3 linked regions of the Notamacropus eugenii genome follow. The protein of the gene in region 1 interacts with the protein of each later gene in a pairwise test. Links are inferred from orthologs where the notes say so. Each region holds a gene or a part of one and is shown on either strand. Other genes may lie near its edges.

Region 1 (7,966 bases):
GAAAGAAACCATAGAGATGGATTGAGGTTACCTGGGAGGAGAGATCAGCCCACTGGGCAGCACCCTGATCATGTAGGGTGACAGCTTTGACTCCACCAAGAATGATGTTCTTAGCAATCTCAACTCCCAGGCCCCGGAGCCCAGACACCAGGACACTGGAAGTCTGAAGTCGCTTCATAGCATCGTGGCCCAGTACATACCTGAGAAGGAGATGAGAGCAAGGTCTAGAGCCCAGTCCCTGTCTGACAGCTTCTCCCCTTCCCAGCCCCCAACAGTTCCGGCCTCACAGCTGCCTGGAGTATAGGCCCTCGTCGATGTCTGCCTCGCTCCCGTTCTTAGCCATTCCCTGTGGACAAAGAAAGCGACAAAGAAATGCACAGGGTGAGGAGAGGCTGACCCAAGCCCTGGGATCCACTACACTACTGAAACTCAGTGCTGAACACTCACGTTGGCAGGTGCAGTGGGCACTTCAGAGGGAACGGGGTGGGCAGGAGAGCAGTTAGAACCTGGTTTTGGATCAGGCCCGGACACGCGACGCTTCTTGGACAGCGGCGAGCTGGACATCTAGGAGAGATAGAAAAGAAAGCTGTCAGAACTGGCCCAAAGAGAGGGAGGAGAGATCAGGGTGCGAAGTACAGCAATGAACCTGACATGAGGGAGAGGGGCTGAGAACAGGCCACCTGGGAAGAAGAGAACTATTCCCAGGAATGGGTGAAAGAGGAAGTCTGAGGAAAAGAAACAGTGCCAGAGAGTTCCAGAGCGTTAGGGAAGTCAATGAGCTGGTCCTACTGGGGGTGGAAAGGAGAGAAATATGAGAGCAGAGAGGCGTCCTGGGCAGGCAGGCAGGAGGATCAGGACATCTTCTTTTGGGCAGGGTTAGAGAGACACAGGAACAGATGGGGTCAGTGGGTAAGTCCAGGGGGCCCATCACGTTTGTGGGGAAAGTAAGCCATCTGCCAAGCAGAGCGGTGACACAGAGTAGGAGGGGGGAAAGAGGAAGCACCATTGTCCTGATTGGCCAAGGCTGTTGTCCTTCCTTTAGGGTTCTTCTCCCACTCCCTCGGGTGAATGTGGGGGGCAGAAAGGCCAAAGAGGCTTCCAAACCAACAGAATGCCAAGAAAGATGGAAGGAGGAAAGGGGAATGAAAGGAAGGCGCTGTCCAGGGTGCTCCTTGGTCTTATCTGGAGTGGCTGCCGGTAGGCCCGCCACCCACCCGCCCACCCATCCACCCAAGGCCCCGGCGTGGAGAGAGTGAAGAGGCAGGATTGATGCCCCCTCCCCCCAGCACCTCCGGCGGCCCCACCCCTCCGGCAGAATCCCGGGTGGGGCCCGACGATACAGTGGCCCCGCCCCCGGGGGGGGGGTGGAGAAATCGCAGCGGGAGGGGGGCTGGTGAAGGGAGGCAAATCCCAGCTGGGGGGGAGAGATCCCGGCAGTCTGGGGGGAACGGGAGAAGCGGCAGACAGTGGGGGGGGGGGAGGGGAGGAAGTAGACTGCGGGGATGGGGGTGGGGGGAAGGAGAAGAGATCGCGGTAGAGGGGAGGGAGGCCGGCAGCCGAGAAGGCAGGCCGGTTACCAAGGCCTGTTCCCCGGGGCCCGATCACCGCAGTCGCCGTCGCCGTCCGGTGCTCAGGGAACTCCCCCCGCCGCCACCCAAGGCCAGCCCCGGCGCCTGGAGTCTCAGCCCCTCCACGGGCTGCTTCGGTCCCAGACACAAGATGGCGGCCGCCGCCGCAGAGCCGGAACAAAACCCGCGGGTGGCTCCGCCCCCTGACGCAGGCACCGCCCAGTCCGAGGCCCGCCCCTCCGCCGGCCGGCAAGCCCCGCCCCCGTCCCAATTCCTCGCCCCCGCCGCAGGCTACAAAGCTGGCACATTCACCGAGAGCAGGGTTCCGGCGGCTTGGGGAGGGCACAAGCAAGTCTTTCCCCCGATCTCTTCGCCCCAGCGCCCGAGCCAATAAACGTGCGCCCCCGTCCTCACCCCCAAACTGCTCCCGCCCTCCTATCTCTGAGTGACACTGCCAGGTACCGCGCCAGGCCTCGCTCAAATCCTCTAGCAACGACGCCTCGCGCCTGCGCGCCCCGAAACGGGCCAAAGCCTACCCCTCCCCCCGCGGACCAGGCGCAGGTTCGCGCACGCGCCAGCCTGCGGCCCGTCCGCCCAGCTCGGCGAACGCCGGCATCCCTCCTCCTAGTCAGCTAAAAACGCACGCAATACCCGGTGGGGGGAGGGGGGAAGAGAACAAACGCACCTCCTACATTAAGACCCGGCCCAGATTGCCCCGCCCCTCCAAGAAGTCCAAATGGGGGCAGAGGCCCCGCCCCTAATGAATAATGGTCAAAAAAGACCCCGCCTCCTACGCCCGGGCAGCCACACAAGGACGAAACTCTCATCACTACCCCCCCAACTCGTGCCGTTTCATAAAAGCTCTCCCTGGGTCCCCTCTACGCCAACGCCAAGTCTCTCAACTCACCCCCTCCTCAGGCCCGGAGCCGCCGAGGCCTAGCCTTCCCCTAGAGCTGGAGGCGGTGCTGGAGCGGTAGCCAGAGCTAACTTTGCTGCTGCCGAGGAGCCCCGGCTTGCGTAGCGATGGGCTGAGCGCGGAACTTGGGGTCCCCGGGCCCGGAGCGGAAGGTACTATTTGCGTCAAGGGGGAAGGCTCACCCCAAATGCGACTCTCGCGGCCTATCCCCTGCTCTGACATTCGAGTGCACCCCATTTTCACCTCATGTCCTGTCAGCGTCCTAGTTCACATCAGATTCTGACTCTTTTTCGCCCATTCCAGAAAAAAACCGGCCCCAAAGTTACTGAAAGAATCCCCTGGTGGAGCACACGTGGTACGATCCAGGCTGGTCGCCGTTGCGGAGCCTGCTGGGAATTGTAGTTCAGCCCGCGCTGGCGCTTGACTGGAGCACGTGGTGAACACTATCCTAAACTGGGCCAGGGTGGGGAAGAGGTTTAGACATCTGTGGCGGAGACAACTTCCTACAAGGGCGCGAGCATTAGGGAAGGCTGGGAAATAGGGCGGGACCAATTTTGAAAATCATTCGTGGAGACTGACTGAGTTAAAATTCAGGTTCCAGAGACATTGACAGAAGTGGGGGGAAGGTACCTAGAGTTAAAGCTAAAGTGGGGCAAACCTAGAGTCTAAAACAGAAAATGGATGAACAGACACCGGTACAGAGACTAAAATGAGAGCAAAGATCCAGACACAGGGCAACTAGAGACTGAAAACCTGAAGGGAGGGGGGGAGAGGGGAAGAGACAGATCTAAACCCCAAACTTCTCTGCATTATGCGTTTGAGATATTTCCGGGGTTCTGTACTGAGTACAGATGACAAAGGTAGGGTTTGTCTGAGAGAGCAGGTAGAGTAAGACTTTGGACACCATCCAGTTCGATCCTCTCCATTTTAGAGATGGGAGCTTAAGAGATCTGTGGGTGACACGGTATTGTCTGTCTGAGGTAGAATTTGAACTCAGGTTTTCCTGATTCCAACTCCAGCATTCTACCCACTGTGCCAGCTACCTGCCAGATGAGAAATCATAGATTTAGAAATGGAAGGGAAGTTTAAAGTCATTGTATCAAACTCCACCATTTTAACAGTTGGGGAAAGGCACAGATGCCAAAAAGGTAATTTACTTGACCAAGGTCATTGTGTTCCTTCGTTGCTGAAGAAGACCATGCCACCAGAGAAACGATGACGTGACTTGCCCTTGACTTTGTTTTGAATGAGAGAGGGCTGTGCAGGTCACCAGCCTCACATCTCCTCCAGAACCATTGGAATCCTGGGTCATCTTCAGTCATCCTGAGGAATGTCTGGTCACTGGATTCATTAAAGGGGCCATGCCCTGGCTACTGCTTAAACAGTCCTATTCAATGAATGGGCATTAGTTCACCCTAAGTGAATACCTGCAAAGACCTTGGCCTAAAGGACCCAAGGTCCTGGGTCGTCTCCAAGATCATACCAGCAGTGTTAGAGGCTATGATTTGAACCCATGGTTCTTTGACTCATTCCTACTCCAATTCATCTTCCTCGGACTCCCGCCATGTATGCTCCATAAAAGAATCTCTCCAATGATCGTTTTTCTAAGAGCTTTCCTCAAAAGTTTTCCTTATTAATCATTTGGAGGGTAGAGATACTTCACGGTGTGGGTTCTTGCACCATGGAAGGCCTGGCTTTTCAGTAAGGTGCTCTGAAAAGATCGAGCCAACGGTCTGAGGACCAATATGCTTTACAATCCGGAGGAGCTCATCTCCAGTAAGTGTACTATTAGGCTATGGACTCCTTTTCCCTGTGCCTGGGACACAGTGCCTGTCACATAGTAGGCACTCCATAAGTGGCTGTTGACCTGAACTGAAAACAGTGGAGAGCCAAGAGAGACAAGGCATAGTCTCTACCAAAGTTCCTGAAAAGAACGACTAGGCATAGAGAACGTAGAAGGCAGGGGGTCAAGCCAAGCTAAGGAGTTTAAACGGAAGTGCAGCAGCGCAGCACGACCATTGTCGCTTTCTCCAGTGGCGCCAAAAAGGTCTAGTTGGAGCACGGTTCCTCCCTAATGGGCAAAGGGGCGGAACCCACTCGACAGTCTAGTCCCCCTCTGCCTTCCCCCCACCCCCGCTGGAATCACGTGAGGCGGGACTCCACCTCCTTCCCCCATGGACGTGGTGCAGGTTCGGCCAATCGCCACGCCCTCTGTGGAAGCAAGGGGCGGGACTCGGCGACTCAGCGCGGAGAATGCTCGGGAGGGGGCGCAGCAGCCCAACGGAGCGCGCCGGGGCCCGGGCCGGCCCGGGCCGGCTCGCGCCTGGGCTGCTGGGCCGGGAAAGGGAGGGGCGGGGCGAGGGATGGGCGGAGCTGCCGCCGCCGCCATCTTCGCTTGGTAGTTTGGGGCCAGCCAGGGGGAGGCAGCAGTGGGTTGCCCTGGGGCGGAGAAAGGGGAGAAGGAGAAGGAGAAGGAGGGCGGCGGCGGCGGGGGCGGCGGCAGCTTCGCCGGAGTCGTAGCCGCGCTTTCCTGCGGGCCCGGGCCCGGCCCCACTGACGGCGGGCGCGCGCGCGCGTGCCCGCGAGGGAGGCGGTAGCAGCGGCGGCGGAGGCCGGGTGATGTGCCCGAGCCCTCGCCTCACGGTCCGGACCCGGCAGGTGAGCGGGCCCGGCGGGGCTCGGGCTGGGCCGGGGACGGGGGAGGGGTCGGGGGCCCCGACCCGGCGGCGGCCACGGCGCCGGAGGCCCCCCGGGGGTGGGAGTGGGGGGGTGAAGGGGGGGTGCGGAATAGAGGCCGAGTCGCCGAGCGGGCGCGAACCTGAGCGAGCGTGCGCGCTCCCGGCGGTGGCGCCGCGCTCCTCTCCCCCTCCCCTCCCCCCGCCGTCTTTTCCCTCCTGCTCCCCCCTCCCCTTCCCCCAGCCCCCTCCTCCCTCCCCAGAGGCTGCGGCCGGTCTGGGGAGGATCAGATGGATGAATGACAGGAGCAGGCGGCTGGAGCGGGTCCAGATCGGGGAGGGCAGCTGGCATGGCCGCTCCTCTGGCCCGCTGGCCCTGCCATGTGCCAGACCCTGCCCCCGCGGGGCCCTTTCCCCTAAGCCCGGCTAGGGCAGCGCTGTACCTTGGGGGGCCGGCCAGGGCAGAGGTCAGGCTGATCGGGGGTGCCCCAGAGTGGGCTGCTCTGGCCCTGGGTGCCCGTAGCTGCTTCCTACCCCTTGCCTGGCGGCTTTTGAGAAGCCCCTTTATTAGCCTCACCTGCTGGGCGTAGGAGAAGACGAGGCAGCAAGGCCTTCAGCCCCGTCTCTGGGCCCCTGCAGTCAGGGCAGCTGAGCCTCTGTGTTTTCCGACAAGTGGAGCTGGAAGGAAAGTGCTGTGTAAACTTACCAGCTGAGCTCTGGAGGCCTGAGGGGTGAGGGCCATTCAGGACCTGCCTAGGGGGCGGGAGAGGGGATTGAGGGCAGAAAGGAAGGCACCTCCCAAGGCCAGGTGGCCTTTGCTCGCCCCTTTGGGCCACACCTGGCAGCACGATGGGCCAGGCCTCGGTCTTGTCCTCATAGAGTTCCCAGTCCCATGTGGCCCCAGGTTCTAGGGCAGCCTTCTCAGAATTCTGGCTTTACAGAATAGTAATAACTGAAAATAACAAGGGAGGGTCCCCCCCCACCCCCCAGTCTGGCCATGGAGCCCGGAGTTAAAAACCCCTGTTGTTCCAGAGGGGACAGGTGCCGGAGTTAAATATGTTTTGAAGGACACACAGGGGAGGGGTGCACAGGAACCTTCCTCCCCCACCAGAGGCAGCAGTGATCCTGGCCCTCACTCCAGAGTACAAAGGGGCAAAGCATCCAGATCAAGGAAAAGCAGAAAAGACTTGGGGGCCAAGGCTGAAGCCAGGGAGGCAGCATGGTGGCCTTGACCTTGGACTCTGGCTGTTCTTGGCAGCTGGGGGGCCCTGAAAGTCATATCCAATATTTCTCAGGCCTTTTACAATTCATTCACATGGACCCACACATCCTCCCCAGCAGCCCCCTGAGGTATGGAGTGCAACTAGTTCTAATCATCGTTTTATACAAGAGCAAACCAAGATGCAAAGATGCTTGGATGTTCTCAGCCAAGATACAGTGGCAGCTCTGGCTCTGACTCCTCATATCTCTCTCTCTCTCTCTCACTCTCTCTCTCTCTCTCTCTCTCTCTCTCTCTCTCTCTCTCTCCCTCCCTCCCTCCCTCCCGCCTTCCCTCCCTCCCTCCCTCCCTCCCTCTCTCCCCCTCCCTCCCCCTCTCTTCCTCTCTCTCTCCCCCTCTCTCCCTCCCTCTCTCCCTCCCTCTCTCTCTCCCTCTCTCTCCATTTCCCTCCCTCTCCATTTCCCTCCCTCCCTTTCCCTTCTCTCTCTCTCCTTTCTATCTCCCTCCCTCCTTTCTCTTTCTCTGTCTTTCCCTCTCTGTCTTTCTCCATCTCTTTGTCTCTCCATCTCTCTCTCCCTCCTTTATCTCTCTCCCTCCTTTCTCTTTTCTTTCTGCCTCTCCCTCTCCATCTCTTTGTCTCTTCATTTCTATCACTGCCTCCTCCCTCTCTCTCTCCCTGTCCCTCCCTCTCTCTCTCTCTCTCTCTCTCTCCCTCCCTCTTTCTCTCTCTCTCCCTCTTTCTCTCTCTCTCGCTCGCTCTCTCTCGCTCTCTCCCTCCCCCTCCCCCTCCTCCTTCCCACTTTCCCATTCTGGAGACAATCCAGATTGACTGCTGCTAGTTCTCGTTTTCTTCCCCTGTACCAAGGGTTAGGTAGCCCGCCCTGCCTGGATGGGCTCAGGCTGCCCCTGACCTCTCCTTTTTCTTTTCTGTCCCTCAGATCCCTCACGGGAGTTCTTGTGCAGGCTGGCGGAGCATGGTGGCAACAGCAGGGCTGGTGGCAGCTGGGAAGTGAGGCGGAGCCATCGGCCCAGGAGCAGGCCACCCCCAGACATGGAGTATGAAAGACGGTGAGACTGGGGAGAGGGCTGTCCCAAAGTGAGAATCCTTTGGGCCCTGGCAAAAACAAGGGGCATCTTTTCCCCTTGATTTTTCCCAAGGTTGACTTTGGGTTTTGGCTGGAGAGGGGTAGGGTTCCAAAACTGAATGATCTGGGATCATAATATTTTTCTTGGAAAGAGATTCAGAGACCATGTGAGATAGTAAGGTCTGATCCTGGCTACCCCCCATTCCTGAGACTTCTTGGCACTGGGCAGTAGCTATCTTTTCTAGAAAGCTCTTTGTACCCAGACAAGCCACCTTGGGCCAGTGCCATCATTCCCCCAGGATGCTCCAACACAGATGACAGGGCTCCGAGGAGCTTGACTGGGCCTTGAGAGAGAGAGGGCAGAGCAGGAGGCAGCAGTGCTGTGTGTCAGCTCCTCTGCCTGTCCCCAGCTGCCTTTGGCTACATGGGCATGTGATGGCTCTCTTTAGTAAAGTAACAACAGGAGCAGAGAGGTTTTGATGAGCCCCACTCAGATCTCCCTG
Region 2 (7,834 bases), on another chromosome or scaffold:
AAATGGGAGAAAGGAGACGAACAGAACAGGGACCACATGAATGGAAATGTGTCATGGTTGGCTGGGGCCAAATTAGCTAATACCTTTGTTATTTAGTGCTACATTAAGTATCATATAGGTCAGACGTCACAAACCTTCAGAGCACTCCTAGTTGTAAAAACTTAAAACAAGAATTACTTAATGCTCTGTCTAACACAATAAAAAGGTGACCTCCCACATGCTTGTAGGTAGGAATATTTTAACATTAATCAACTGACAAAACCTTTATGAAGTACCTACTACGTACCAGACGCAATGGTTGAGGGGCAGGGAAATACCAATAAAAAAAACTCCACCACAATCTGCTCCCTTGGGGCTTACATTATTTCACCCAAAGCTCTCACTGGATTAACCCTTAGTCTGCTAAAATCAAGCAGTGCCCAGCACTTAATAAATGCTTGTGTCACCTCCCCCCCCCCAAATGGAAAGTAAAATGAACTCAGAGTTACTGGCATCTCTGAAGTCAGAGCATGAAGGTCCTTCCACATCCCAGGACTGAGCAGCAACCTCTATGATCCAGTGAATGCGGCACAGCTGCGGCTACCACAGGCAACCATATAGAAACGAGGCCCAAGGCCACCCCTGAGGCTGTGGCCCAGCAGCCAAGGAAAGCAGATCTGACAAGATGGTTTCATTCCTGATTTACTTAAGAGATTTCTATAGAACACCAGAGTGCAATACATGTGCGTGATGGAGCCACCGGTGCTGCCTCCCTGTTGGGGCCAAGCTTACGATGGTTTCTTGTTGTCAAAGAGCATAGCATCTACAACCAAACTGTCTTAGCAGGAGAAGAATCACAGGAACATATGGCTCAACAAAGCAGCCAATCGAGGCCACTGCACTGGTGACTCACCCCCAAAACACAAGCAATCAGAGCTCTTTCAGCACCTATACATGGAGCATTGGAGTTGACATGGACCCCAGATTTCCAAACAAAAAACAAAAAAATCTTGGAAAAGCTAGGATTCCAAAGTCCACCTGTGGTAAGGCAGATGCTGCCTGCTTTGCATGAGACAGTCACAGAATGTCAAGCTTTATGCCAAGAACCAGAGGGCATATGGGAAGGAGTTTCTATTTAGACATCGATGGGCTTCTTATGCTACCTCACGAACACCACACCTAACATGGGCCTACACTCAATCTACTCTGGTTGCTTTCAATCCAACCCTGTATCTAATGAGGCAAATACTTTATACTTCTTCTTCAGCAAGTCCAGATTACAAGAAAATCAGCCTTAAAAATGCCCATCCTCCTCCAAAATAGACAGCAGTCAAACAAATACGATCAACCCTCTTTCCACTGGACAACCTCTTCAACCCCTTCTGGCTCTCCATCAGCTCGTGCTCAGTGCCTCTGGCACCACATGGCAGGCAGCCGGGCTGCCCCACAGCCACCCTTGGTCTCTGGGAGAGCTAGAAAAGAGCCTTTCTAAGTTACATGCAACTTAGTGCAGAATCCAACAGAGAGAGGTGAGAAAACTAGTCCAGCACAAGACCACTTCTCTTCTGTGCTCTTCATTACACAGCTCAGAAAAACGTGCCAACACCTGACAGAGGAGGGACAAGACAGATGGGCTGCTCTGTGGGCACAGCGGAAAGTGCCCGATTTGGAGTCTTAAGACCTGGGTTCAAAGACCCACTCAACTGTTTTATACTTGGCTGGGACTGAGCAAGCTAAAACCTTTACTTCTTCACCTGTAAAATGAGGGAGTTGGAAGAGGCAGGTCCCAAGACCCATTCCAGCTCCAAATCTACAGCTCTGTGAGTGAGAAGGCACACGGCACCCACTTGACAGGAGAAGTGGAAGAATGTTTCCGGTGTGACTGATGCCCTTCTTCAGACAGTCTGACTCTGAAGGCTTTTAAAAGGTAAGCAAAGTAGCAGCGTCGGAAAATGGCCCATCCCGCGGGCCACTAGGACCTCAGCCCGGCCACCGATGTCTCGCAGGACGCCAGCGCAGCCTTCTGGGCCTCAGTTTACCCCTGGGTAACGCAGGGGCTGGCCAGGCTCCGAGCTTTGGACTAAAGGCCGTACTAAGTTAACAGCCCGGACCGCGGTGACCCCTGGCGGCATCCCCCTTACAGCTTCCTCCTCTGTAAAGCAAGGGCTAGACCGCACCTTCTAGAAATCCCTCCCTGCCCCTTCCCCACCTGCCCAGGTGACAGGCTCTCCGCAGCGCTCCGGCCGGACAACGCGGGGGGATCGCGGGCTCCATCCCGAAGATTCTTTCCGGGATAAAGCAGCCTCCCAACGCGGGCGGTCTCGGTTCCGCCCCCTCCTCCCCCAGCCCCGGCGAGCTCCCACCCTGGGTCGGGGGTCACCTGGTTGAACTCCTCGTCCGCGTATATATCGATCAGGTCCACTCCCTCCGACATGGCTCTGGGACCCCGGCGGCGCCGCGAGGAACAAGGGTGGCGGTGGTGCCGCTGCGCTCCGGGGAGAGGGACACGAGTCAGGCCGGGGCAGCGGCGGAGGGGGGGCCGGCCTGGCCTCTCCCCGCCCCGCTCCTCTCCACGCAGCCCGGCCTCCCTCCCGGCCTAGGCCCGCCCGCCGCCCGCTTTCTCCGAGGGGGGGCCTCTCCTCCACGCAGCCCGATTTCTGCGCGCCCTTCCCCCATCCCTCGGGGTCTAGGCCCGCCCGGCGCCCAGGCCCTCAGGCGGCCTCCCCGCCTGCTCCCCTGGCGCTCGCGGGCCTCCCCCCGCCCCCGCCCCCGCCCCGCGCGCCGCCCCGGACTGACCGGGCCCCAGCGCCGCCTCAGCGCGGGCTCCGTCCCAGCCTGGGCCTAGGCCCGGCCCCGCCGCCCGCCCTCCCAGCCCCGCCCGCCCCGCTACCCCTCGCGCCGCCGTCGCCGCCGCGCCCCCGCCTCCGCGCCCCGGCCCCGCCGCCCCCGGCCGCGCGCCCCCGTTACCGGGAATATGGCGGCGGCGAGTCCGGACTAGGCCCGAAGCGCGCGAACCTCTGCCCGGCCGCAGGCCCCGCCCCCTGCTCCCGCCGCCGCCGCCGCCGCCGCCGCCGTCCCCCTCCCTCCCCGCGCCACGCGCTGGCGTCACGCGCGCCGCCGCCACACGCACACACGCAGCACGCACGCGCGCCCAGAGCCGCCTCTCCCACCTCCCCTCCGAGGCCTCTCGGGCTCGTCGGGGCCTGCGGGAGGTCCCCGGATGTGGTGAGCAGACGGGCTTCCGGCCGGGCCTGAGCGGAAATGGCGGCGGCGGCGGCGGCGGCTGCAGCTGCTCCCGCAGTTCGGGTGAGAGCGGGCAGAGGCCGGGCGGGGGGAGGCCGCGGAGTCCCGGAGAGAAGGGCCGAGCGGCCCTGCCTGGAAGGAGGACCCGGGGAGCCGCAGGCCACCGGGCCGGGCCTCGGCTTCCCCCTGTGTAAAACGGAGACCCGCCCGCCCCGGGTTCGGTGTCGGCTCCGCAGGGTCCAGTCCAGCCCCGTCGCCTCGTCGGCCCTGTGGGGATCCCGCCGGCCCCTCCCTCCCAGGGTGGCTGCCAGGATCGAGGGAGCTTTGTGAAGCGCTTTGCCGCCCCCTTGGCCTCAGTTTACCGGTCTGTCACTTGGGTTAGGCGGCCCCGAGGGGCCCCTCCCCCTTCCCGTGGCCTCGGACCCCCCAGCGACAGAGAAAGACTCGACCGCCCCTCCCCCATCCCACGAAGCCGGGGTCTGGGAAAGGAGGGAGGGGCCGGATTGGGCCTGGAAGCCGAGGACACCCCCCTTTCCACCCCTAGGTCGGACCCCGGGCCGTCCCCAGGGTCACCCACGCCACCTTCCGTCTGTCCTGACGGGTGTGAGCCCCTGGAGGGCGGGGACTGTGCCCAGCATGCAGCTGGCGCCACATAAGTGCTTGCGGAGGAGCCCTGGTGGGGAGGAGGCAGGGCCGAGTGCGGCGGCGCCAGGCCCGGGTGGGAGCGGGGTGTGAGCACCGAGCTGGGTGCGGCGGGCCTTCCAGGGACGGAACGAGCTCCGGCTAGGGGGGCGAGTGCCTCAGACACCTCCTAGCCGGGGGGACCCCGGGCCCCCGCCTCCCCCCGCCTGCCTCAGGTTCCTCATCTATGGCAGACCCCTCCATCCCCTTGCCAGAAAACCCCAGAAGGGGCCGTGAGAGTCAGGTGACAGCGCAACATAGTATATACATTGTAACCAAATTCCTTCAAGCTCCAGCCCCACTGTGTGTGCCAGCGGCTCCATCCTCTGGTAACTTCCTCACCACCTCCTACTTTTTGTTTTAACCAATCTCTAGCAGTTTCCCTTAAACTCTCCCTGCCCCACAAAATGGTGGTCAGTCTGAAAGGCTCTTTTAAGATGCAGATGACCGTTGGATTGAAAGACAGCCCGGTAGTTTGCCTTTAACATGCAAATTGTGGAGCCCAGCAGAATGGAATTTCTGGGTGGCCAGCTTCCTTCCACGGTAGAACTGGGGACTTCAACGCAGAATTCTTTGATTCTACGGAGTCTGAGTAGAAAAGGGACGCTGGAAGGGGATGCCCTCCCCGGTGGTTGGGTTTTCACCAACAGCTACAAGAGCTGTCCAGGGGCTGCACCATAAACAGTGATTTGGTAAGGAAGGTACTAAGTACCTGGTGGCTTTCAACCAGAAACCGAAGGAGCTGCCCAAAGCTCAGACACCACCGTGTTTGGTTCCTCGTGTTCTTTCTAAAAGAAGTTGAATCTACAATTAGAGGGAATATTCTTTGGAAGGATGTACCCTAGAGATCAGAACCTAGAGAAAGGCTAAAAGGGAAGCCCTTGGATAGCTACTTCTTGCTTCATTCTTCAACCAAGACCATGAAATGACGTGAGGCTGCTTGTGAGAGCCCTCCCTAAGATACCATGCCTCGCTCTCCAGATTCTTTCATGTTGTGGTTGTCCATTTGGACACTGGACTAGAATGCACCAAGAGAAAGGGGACCCAAAGGCTGAAAGAAGAAATGCCCTCCCAAGGCTTCGAGCATTTGGATTGTGATGGCAAGGTGGACGCCAGTTGTACAGTCCCATACCAGATGGGGAGCTAGGTCCCTTTCTGTCATGTGCTCACACATGTGGGGCCAGGACCTCTTTCACATGGGACCTCATCTATCTGGAAGCTACATTTCTACTTTCCTCTCTGGCACATCACTTCACCTTTGGTACTCCGTTTGTGCGTCTTGGTAGCTCATAGGAGATTTAGCTGGAAGGGAATTTAGAAACCATTTTAACCCAATCTCCTCATTACACAGGTGAAGAGCTGAGGTCTCGAGGAGGTTTTTAGGTTTGTTTTTTATTTTTTATTTGAGCCTTTATTATTTCACCTTCTAAGCATAGTCAAATTCCCATGTCAGCCAAGTCCAGAAATGTCTCTTTCTGCAGATTTAGTCCCGCAGTCCTCTCAGGCTGTTGGCGTTTATTGTATAAATTCTGGTGGGTGGATATAAGACTAGGCCTGGAGTCAGGAAGACCTGAGTTCAAATGCAGCCTCATATAACTTAGCTGTGTGACCCTGGACAAGTCACTGTTTGCCTCAGTTTTCTCATCCATAAAATGGGGATAGTAATAGCACCTACCTCCCAGCTTATGTCTCCCAGGTTGTCATGAAGATCCAATCAGACAGTGTCTGTAAAGCCCTTAGCACAAGGCCTGGCTTATTGTTTAGTTGTTCAGCTGTGTCCAGCAACAATAGCCTAGCTCATAGTAGGTATACAAATGTAGCACGATAGTACTCCATTCCATTCATACACTATTCCCCAGCTGATGGCTACCCCCTAGCTCTTTGCAGCTACAGAAAGTGCTGTCATACATTTCTGTGGGCATAGGACGTTTTTTCTCTCTGATCTTTGGAGCACTGTCCCAGGACTGGTATTATTGAGTCAAAGGCTGTAATTCCAGCCTCCCCAACTATGCACTTTCATGCCTATTTTCTTACAGCCCCTCCAGCATTTGTCATTCCCCTTCTTTGTCAACTTTGTCAATTTGATGAGTCTGAGGTAGAACCTCAGTTGCTTTAATTTGCATGTCTAATTAGTAATTTTAGAGCAGTTTTCCATATAGCTACAGATAGCTTGGATTTTCTTGTTCCTATTCTTGGACCATCGATCAGCTGTGAAGTTAAATAACTTGCCCAAGAAAAATAAGCCTGCTCCTCCAACTCCAAATTCTTCCAAGGAGAGAGATAAAAAGAGTGGACGATAATAGGAATGGTGGGAGATCAGAATCTAGAGCAAGAACGAATTCTGAAAGACTCTCTACTAGTCCAGTGTCCTTTCATGCCTGTGGAAATTTCTATTCCAAATGTCAAATCCAGGTCCTCTGACTGTAAATCAAATTCTCTTCCATGAAACCGCCCTACTTCTCATCTGCCTGCAAACCAAGCCCTTCTCCAGACTCAGTTTCTGCTGAGAACACCAAAGCTTTCCACATTAAGTTTCCTTAGGTTCATAACCTTGGGGGCTTGACTTTTTTCAGCCTCTTTATTGGATTATTTCCCCAGTCCTGTCTACACAGGATTTCACATCTTTTCCCTCTCCTCCCTTCCCATGCATATTTTTCTTTCAGGCCCTTGTGGCTGCTACCCTGGACAATTTTTATCCCCTCCCAGGCGCTTTTTCTGTCTCCAGTCTCTCCTCCATTCATTCTCAGTCTTGCTCCATCCTCCATGAGTCGTCACCTTGTTGCTCCCCAGCTCTAAAACCTTAGCAGCTGATCCCCTCTTACCTCTAGGAGAAAATACAAATTCTCCCTGGCAGTGAAAACAGCCCTAACCGTTCTTTCCAGATTTATTTTTTTTAATCCTGTAAATTCTCTTCATTATGGACTTGACAAACAGTAATACTTCCATGTACAAAGAACCAAAAAAGGACCTTCCTAGCTTTCACATTGTTGCTTGACACACTCTATTCCAGTCAAACTGGACTGCCAGCTGTTCCGCCAGTGGCTCCCACTGCATTGCATTCATTCTCATCCACACATCCCCATCCCTGGAGGGCTTTCCCTCTTCATCCTTACCTTTCCAAGAGCCTTCTTCTTCCTGTAGTGTTCCACTCAGATGGCCCTTCTACCTCCCTCCCCCCGCCTGTTACTGTTCTCTTTCTGGAGATCCCTTTTGTTAGGTTTTTCTGTTTACTTGTCGCATTGATTACCAGTCAGTCCTGGTCAGGGACCAGTCTGCCTTTGTTTGCCTTTGTATCCTCAGCCCTTAGCTCTGTGCCTTGACTCTGGCAGCTGTATGTTTGTTGAGTTAAATTAGAGCATCTAAACACTACCTAGAGTAGTGGCTAGTTAGTCTGTCGGCCTCCAATTACTCCCCTTTCAGTCCATCCTACCCATGGTCAGCTGAGTCCCATTTAAGTTCAGCATTTTATGAATCTGCACATTCTTTTTAGTGTACAGTCTCTGGCAAACAGGCATTTAATAAATATTTATTGAATTGAATTTCATGCAGCTTGATTCAGTCTGGGTTGTTTGTGGTTCTTTTTTCAGCTTCTTGCCTTGTCCAGGCACACTCTTGTGTCTCCCTTTGTGGCTAGTTCACTGTTGAGACGATTCTACCGAGGGGACAGCCCATCAGACTCTCAAAAGGATATGCTTGAAATCCCCTTACCCCCATGGGAAGAGCGAACAGATGAACCCATTGAAACCAAGAGGGCTCGCCTGCTTTATGAGAGCAGAAAAAGAGGCATGCTGGAGAACTGCATCCTGCTCAGGTAGGGAAGGGGGTGCCTGGGGCTGTGGCGGAAGGACCTGCCCTCCATGGCTATGACTGCTCAGCCCTGTAGCCTCATGCAGCCTCCTGAACGCCTTTCTTTCTTCTCGTTTAGTCTCTT
Region 3 (7,574 bases), on another chromosome or scaffold:
GTAACATCACATTAATTTGGAATATTTTACATTTGCATATCACTTCAACTTTACAGGGAATATTCCTCACAATAATTTTGTAAGATAGGTTGTACAAGCAGTTTTATCTCCATCACAAAGAGAGATGCAGTTTACAGAAAAACTCAAGCAGGTTGAAGTGACTTTCCCATGGTCACACAAATAAGTGCCAGGGTCAGAACTGAAATCAAGCCTTCTATTCCAAGGCCAGTACCCTTTATACTACACCAAACTTACTGTCAATGAAGGGGGTTTAAAGGAAGGGCAGTATAAATTAGTCAAAAGTTCAAATTATGGAATGTTTTTAGAAAAGTGGTTTTACTACTTTGCAAGCCAAGCAAAACTAAAAGTATGTCCAATTAAATGTCTTCTGTAATTAACTTCATATTTTAAAAAACTGAAACTTGAAAACTGTTTGACTCACACCCTCACCCTTTAATATTTTCATGACAGAAATATTTAACTTAGTCTTTGTCTTGAATTAGGATGAATTTCAAATTAATGAAGTTTACTGTAACTATACTAGCCACCAAGAAAAAAACTGCCAGGAATATTCCTAATCTTTTCTTTTTATAAAGCAATATCTAGAGCACTCTGAAGTAGTTATAAACCTTCTACACAAGCATCTCTGGCATTGAGTCTATGCATAACTACAGAATTCTCTAGTGTGCACAATTTCCAAAAAACTTTTTTTATGTAATTAAAACAGATGAAAAACAGCATTAACTATAGAACACATGGTCTAGTGAGATTAAAATGTGCCTGTTATATAGTAAAATCAATTAATTTCTTGAGCATAAATTTATACTCCCTGAAGATATTAAAGAAAATTAAAGGCTAAAGGGATATGGTACTAGGGGCAAAAGTGTCAGGTTTAAAACAGTATCTAATGACACTGTTATTAAAAACACTGTCATTTTAACAAAGTAGTTCAATAAACACTTAATGATTCCACTTCAGAATTATATCAGATTTTTTTTGAAACATGATAGCAAGGTGGTATTCTAACGAAGCACCACAGCTACACCAAACATTCCAGTGTGTTTCATGAAAACATTCTGGTCTTAAGATACTGGGGATAGGGCAAGTTTTTAACACTACAGTAAAACCTGTTTGGCAGACTAGCCAAGCACATCCAAAGACAAACTTTGAAAAGTTTCAAAACCAAGTTGCATCTTTGTTTCCATGTTTATGTCTACCCTCATACAAAAAAAAAAAAGGTTAGACAAAATGACAGTCACACAAGACATATTCAATTGTACTCTGAAAACCAAGCAGAGAAATTTAAGTTTGCCTACTTCTTTAGAGTTACACACAGATTGGTCCACTACGACAAAACCTTCAGAGCTAATGAAATCTTGAAGTGGGGAGGCAGGTTACAAAAAAGTTCATTTAAAAAATGAACTGAACCGCAACAAAGACATCCGAGTTTATTACACAACCACTAAACGCAAAAAATGCATTCACCAGTCCCTCATACAAAATTAACAAATTAAAGCCTTCCTCCAATTTGAGCCCAAAACCACACAGGCAAAAACAACCAGCCTTCAATTCTGGCATCAGTGCGACTCTACATTCCTACCGAGAACACCAAGTTGGCTTCCAGACTTGACGACTACACCGTGATTTTCCTCCCGGGCTCTCGGATCAAACGTGATTGATCCCACAACTCTACGGGGCTCTCTTCCTTCGCCATTCTCAATTAGTTTCTAGGATCGGTGGACTGCCTATCTGGGTGTCTTGGGGAACGATTCCCCCAATTGAGCGCCAAAGCCACTGACTGCCCAGAGCCTTAGTCTCCGATAGACACAAGAAAGTAATGGAGACGATGGATTCCTCGGGGTGCACGGGGTTCCCCTCAACATCCTCCATCCTCCTCAAAGGGGGGGTCCTCCAGGGGCCTCCATTACCACGAGTTCTAGAGCCAAATGCCGTTAGAGTCCGTCCACATTCCCAAGAGAGTCAAGCGGCTCCTTCGTTCCCGCCAGGCCAAGGTCGCCAGATGGGATCCGACGCCGTCCCCCAGGCCCAGGACTAGCCCCCGGGGCCAATCAAGCCTGACCTCGCAGGCGCCTCCGTCCGTCTCCCCGGCCGGCCCGAGGGCACTCAGTCACTCACTCCCCCCGGGGAGGCTAGCACCCCTACCCCGCGGCTCGGCCAAGGTCGCCCTGCTACCTCCATCCTACCTAACTCCGGGGAGCCGAGGGGAGGCGCGCGGCCGCCGCCTCCTCCCTCCCCGAAATCGAGGCGGGCCTGGGCCTCCCCGACCGTCACTACGCCGGCGGGCCGGAGCCACGGCCCCCGAAAGCAGAGCAGCGTGTTAACACGGAGAGGGTGCGGGGAAGGGGAAAAATGGAGAGAGAGGGCCACGGGCAGCGGCTGCCCGCGATCGGGAGGACCGCGCCGCGGGAGCCGCGGCAGCCGCGGCACAGCGCTCAGGTCGGGGGCGCGGCCCGCAGCAGTGGCGGCGGTTACTTCTCTGCGCGGCCGCTGCCGTTTCCGCCGCTTCCTCCTCCGGCGCGGGCGGGCCCCGCCTCGGCCTCGGCCTCGGCCTCGGCCCGCTTCCTCCCCCCCATCCCCCTACCCCACCACTGGCCCGGACCCCTCCCACCATTCCTGGAGCCTGCAGCGTAGTTCTTTCACAACCCGGTTATAAACACACACCGCGGCTCCCGAGTCTCAAGGCCCCAGCCGAGCCTGGGAGGTCTCCTTCGGCACCACAACCGCTTCCCGAGGTAAAAAAAAAAAAAAAAAAATTAAAAAGGGGGGAGGGGGGGTCAAAAAAAAACCTCCAACTCAGAGCAAGCCTACAACAAAATGGCTGCCACTCCTACCCCCTCCCCCCGGGGTCTCTAGACAAACCGAATTGCAGTTGGCCCGCTCATGCGCCTTCCACTCTCGGAGCTCGCGCTCTCCCCTTCCTCCCGCCCCTCTCCGCCAGGCAATCTGGAGCGCGTGCGCATTCGGTCGCCCGACTCGATAAAGTCTTTTTTCCTCGAGGAAATCTGCCCCTTCCTCTACTTTAGGACTCCTGCGCATGCGCCCTGTCTGTGCCTCTGCATTTTGTTCTCCCAGAAATTTAATGTGAGCAGAAGGAGCGAAAGCGTAGAAGTCAGTTAATCCGTAAACACCTATAAAGCGCCTACCACGTGCTAGGCTCTGTCCTAAGCGCTGGGGACACAAAGAAAGGCAAAAGGCAGTGCCTTCCATGTACTTACAATCTAACGGGGAAAGGCAGCACATGAAAACCACCTAGTAGGTGGGATGGGGGCGGAGGCAAGAGAGGGAAGGAGTCAGAGGAGAGGAATAGTGAAGACCAGGACAGCATCAGCATGGCAACTCACACCTCCCCGGCACCCTCGGCCACTTACGCCTTCCTCCCTTTCCCACTGGGGGCTCCACCGGCCGGCTTCATTGTCTCCGGCCACGTAATTCTGCCAGACTATTCACCCCGGTAATACACACCTCCTCCGCACCACTGCCCCTTAGCCCTCCGGCCCTTTGGTTGGAAGGAGTCAAGGTCAGACATTAAAGGGCTCTCCCAAGATCCTCTGTTTAAGGGGGTTGGGGGAGTCTAGCAGACCCTTCATTTTTCACCTGGCTGCTGCTGCACTTTCTCATTGTCTCCAGAAACTGATCATTTTGCAAGAGGAATTCAACTCTGTAACTCTAACTCACACCTCCTCGCTCGTATCCCTGCCCCCGAGGTTCTCCCTCCCTCCGATTGCTGAGTGTGGAGGTTAGACGATGAACATCCTTCTAGATCACACACTTTTTACAGAGAGCACCCAGGGAATCCACCTCATCCCTTACGGATCTCCAGGATATCAACAGAAACTGACCATTCTGCAAAGATAAATTCAACTTTGTAACACACCTCCTTAGATCACTTCCCACTTCCAACTACAAAACTTCATCATGCCCATACCTAAGAGCTAGGTACTCATCCTACCTACTGCGACTCCCCTTTTCAGCTTTTCTTTTATGTGTTGTCTTCCTCCACTATAATGTGAGCTCCTTCAGGTCTTTCTTTGTATCCCCAGAGTTTAACACAATGCCTGACTCATAGTAGGCACTTAATGTTTACTGACTTTCAGCCCCAGAGAAAATGATAAGGTATCTTCCTGAGTCCCGCCCCCCCCCCCCCCCTTTGAAAAAGGATCTGGGAGGAGCTCTTCAATGTGCACCCAGTAAAAAAAAAAAACATTGCATTAATTCACTCATTCAACAAATATTTATTAAAATACAACTCTCTACATTACAACTGTATGTATTATATATTACATTCAGGGATACAAAAGTGAATAAGCAAAGGTGAGACATGCTGCCAGACCTCCTTAAATGCATTTGGGCTGTTATGTTTCTGGTTACTCCTTCAAGTGCTACAAATCAAACCAGTGAACAGAGTTGTATCCAATGTGTATCTAATCTCCGACTTCCCTTAAATCCTCTAAAAGGGACCAGTGAGAGAGAGACCCTCTAGGAACTAAAATCTGCCTTTAGACATTCCTTATCTCTCTTCACTATGTACATGCCAAGTTCCCCTTTTCTGAGATCTTGTATGGCATTTTTGCTTTGGGAACCTTGATCCAATTAGTACTTCTACAACACCATTATTCCTGGAAAGTTTTGTTATCCTTGTGAATTCCCCGAACACTCCTGTTCCTTAGCCACCCAGTCTTAATAAGGATCCTTTCCTGGCTCCTAATCCAGACCTCATCCTCTAACCACTCCACCTTCTATATTAAGTCACTTGGTGATCTCATTAACGCCCTTGAATTTAATTAGCATCTCTATGCAAATTAATTCTCAAATCTACCTATCCTGCCCCAGCCTCTCTGATGACCTCCAATCTTGTATGTCCTTGTAACTGCCTTTCAGACAGCTCAAACTGTATGTCCAGTAGATATCTTAAACTCAACATTATCTTTCCCTCTGAGTTGTATGGGATGTTAAAGGAGGGCTAGCACCTCTGGTGTGAGGACTTGCTTTTCGGGACTGCTCATGCACTTTTGATATCTGCCCGATTCACCTAACTCTTGCCTGTGGCTCCAAGAATCTATAGCAAGAGCAGCAGTCATACTCTGGTTAAAACCCTCTCAGCAGAAGGGCTAAACCAGGTTGAGGGTAACCAACAGGCCTCAAACCCATCAGTAGGTTAGGGGGATATCTGTCCTAAGTATGTGAAAACATTCCCTGTCAGAATGATCAGGTGACAACAATTTGTACCACCCATCAGGATGTGGAGCACTTAGAGCTTGGTTAGACATCAAAGATGCCAAGGTCATTCACTTCATCCTGGCCATTGTCAGTCATCTTGACTTTTGTCCTACCACTGGACTTAGAGGAGTTGGGAAGAGATAGTGAGGCTGGCAACTTTGTGCAGTTCAGCCTCACTTAAATCCAATTCGCCCAAGAAAATGAGGAATAATAACAATCTTTCCTCCTAAATCCTCCCCCCTGTCCTACCTTCCCCACTTCTGTCCCTCAGGCTCAGAACCTCACTATGTCACATGCCCCCATATCCAATCTGTTGCCAAGACCTATCAATTTCACCTTTGCAACATTTCTCAAATCCTCTCTCTTCTCTCCTCTAACCCTGCCACCAATGTGGTACAGACTCTTATCATCAAATGCCTAGATTACTTCAAAAGCTCAGGTCTGACCATCTTATCCCCCTACACAACAATTGCAGTGACTTCCAGTGGCCTCCAGGATGATACAAAAAATGCTCTATTTGGCATTCAAAGCCCTTCATAACTTTCTTCTTACATATTACTCTATGTAATGTACTCTATTACATATATCTACAATGTACTCCAATCCTGTGATATTGACTTCTTTGCTATTCCATAAAATAAAATACTCCATCTCTCTCCACTTCAGGCATTTTTCTGGCTGTCCTCCTGACCTGGAATTCTGTCTCTCCTCAATTTCACTTACTGATTTCCCTGGCTTCCTTTAAGGCCCAACTAAAATCCTACTATTTACAAAAAGCCTTCCTCAAACCCTAATAATTCAAGTAACTTCTCTTCCTTAATTATAAATCCTGTATATAGCTTGTTTTGCATTTATCTGAGTAACCCAGTGGACAGACTGCTGGGCCTGGAGCCAGAAAGATTCATCTTCCTCAGTTCAAATCTGACCTCGGACATTTACCAGGGTGACCCTGTTTGCCTCCATTCCACTTTCAATAATTAGCTGGAGAAAAAAATGGCAAACTCTCCAATATCTTTGCCAAGAAAACCAAAAATGAGGCCACAAAGAGTCAGACACTACTGAAACAACTGAACAACAACTTGTTTTGTGTATATTTGTTTATATATTGTCTCTCCCATTAGATTATAAACTCATTGCCTTCCTTTATATCTCCAGCTCTTAGCACAGTTGCAGGCACATAATAGGTACTCAGTGAATATTGATTGATTTATTTTATATGCCATTGTCTTCCTTTACTAGAATATAAATTCCTTAAGGGTAGGGAAGTCACACTATAATTTTTAGATTTCTAAGTGCTTAATAGAATGCTTGGCACTTAAGTATGTTAAGTACTTAGATGTTTCTTTTTCATCCATTCATTCATTCAATGAATAATAAAACCTATTTGCACCTTCTCTTGCTTTTAGGTCACCTGAAATTTTGATTCTCTGGAGATTAGAATTCCATAATTCCTCAGCCATATAGAATCACTTAGAAAAATATTGGTGCTTTAAAAAAAGATAGGTTTAAAATCAAGGGAATTTTAAGTGTGAAGGAAGGTGGTCTAGTCTTAGGAGATCTCAAACTGTATTATAAAGTAGTAATCATCAAAACAGGTGTAGCTGCGTGGCATAGTAGATAGAATGCTGGGCTTGGAATAAGGAAGACTCATCTTCATGAGTCCAAATCTGACCTCAGACACATTAGCTGAGTGGCCCTGGGCAAGTCACTTAACCATTCTGGCCTCAATTTCTCATTTGTAAAAGGAGCTGGAGAAGGAAATGACAAACCATGCCCATATGTTTGCCAAGAAAACCCCAAAATGGAGTCAGACATGACTGAAACAACTGAACAAGAAGTCATCAAAACAAATTGGGACTGGCTAAGAAATAGAGTGGTGGGTCAATACAATAGGTTAAGTACACAATAGTAAATGTCCTTAGAAATCTAGTGTTTGATAAATCCAACGGTCTATGTTTTCAGGACAAGAACTCACTATTTGACAAAAACTGCTGGAAAAACTGGAAAACAGTATGGCAAAAACTAGTATAAACCAGCATCTCATACCACATACCAAGATAAGGTCAAAATGGGTGCAGGATTTAGACATAGAAGATGAGACCATAAGCAAATTAGGAAACCATGGAATAGTTTACTTGTCAGATTTATGAACAAGGGAAGAATTTAGGACCAAACAAGAGATAGAATTAAAAAATGTCAAGTGGACAATTTTAATTATATTAAATTAAAAAGGTTTTGCACAAACAAAATTGATGCAACCAAAGTTAGAAGGAAAGCAGAAAGCTCAGGGAAATTTCACAGCAAGTATCTCTGATTAAGGACTCATTTCTCAAATA

Evidence for each region.
Region 2: the proteins of RBM10 (region 1) and CPSF7 interact in binary tests that used the Homo sapiens proteins (3 or more experiments, as listed by UniProt). The two-hybrid records come from large-scale screens. The link is inferred for Notamacropus eugenii from reciprocal best matches to the Homo sapiens genes RBM10 and CPSF7.
Region 3: the proteins of RBM10 (region 1) and RBM12B interact in a two-hybrid assay, tested with the Homo sapiens proteins (3 studies listed by BioGRID). The link is inferred for Notamacropus eugenii from reciprocal best matches to the Homo sapiens genes RBM10 and RBM12B.

What each region holds. Positions count from the first base shown.
Region 1 is NC_092879.1:101,862,897-101,870,862, forward strand, and holds the start of RBM10 (RNA-binding protein 10), read left to right. Parts: upstream 1-4,895; 5' UTR 4,896-5,142; intron 5,143-7,316; 5' UTR 7,317-7,429; coding exon 7,430-7,446; intron 7,447-7,966. Other genes in the region: UBA1 (ubiquitin-like modifier-activating enzyme 1), read right to left, coding at 32-200, 288-346, 448-564, 2,476-2,721. UniProt on the Homo sapiens protein: Binds to ssRNA containing the consensus sequence 5'-AGGUAA-3'. May be involved in post-transcriptional processing, most probably in mRNA splicing. Binds to RNA homopolymers, with a preference for poly(G) and poly(U) and little for poly(A).
Region 2 is NC_092873.1:12,981,502-12,989,335, forward strand, and holds the start of CPSF7 (cleavage and polyadenylation specificity factor subunit 7), read right to left. Parts: upstream 3,045-7,834; 5' UTR 2,947-3,044; intron 2,817-2,946; exon of another isoform or gene 2,776-2,816; intron 2,465-2,775; 5' UTR 2,414-2,464; coding exon 2,360-2,413; intron 1-2,359. Other genes in the region: SDHAF2 (succinate dehydrogenase assembly factor 2, mitochondrial), read left to right, coding at 3,241-3,285, 7,491-7,714, 7,829-7,834.
Region 3 is NC_092875.1:159,460,470-159,468,043, reverse strand, and holds the start of RBM12B (RNA-binding protein 12B), read right to left. Parts: upstream 3,052-7,574; 5' UTR 2,881-3,051; exon of another isoform or gene 2,683-2,880; intron 2,474-2,682; exon of another isoform or gene 1,929-2,473; intron 1,662-1,928; exon of another isoform or gene 1,601-1,661; intron 1-1,600.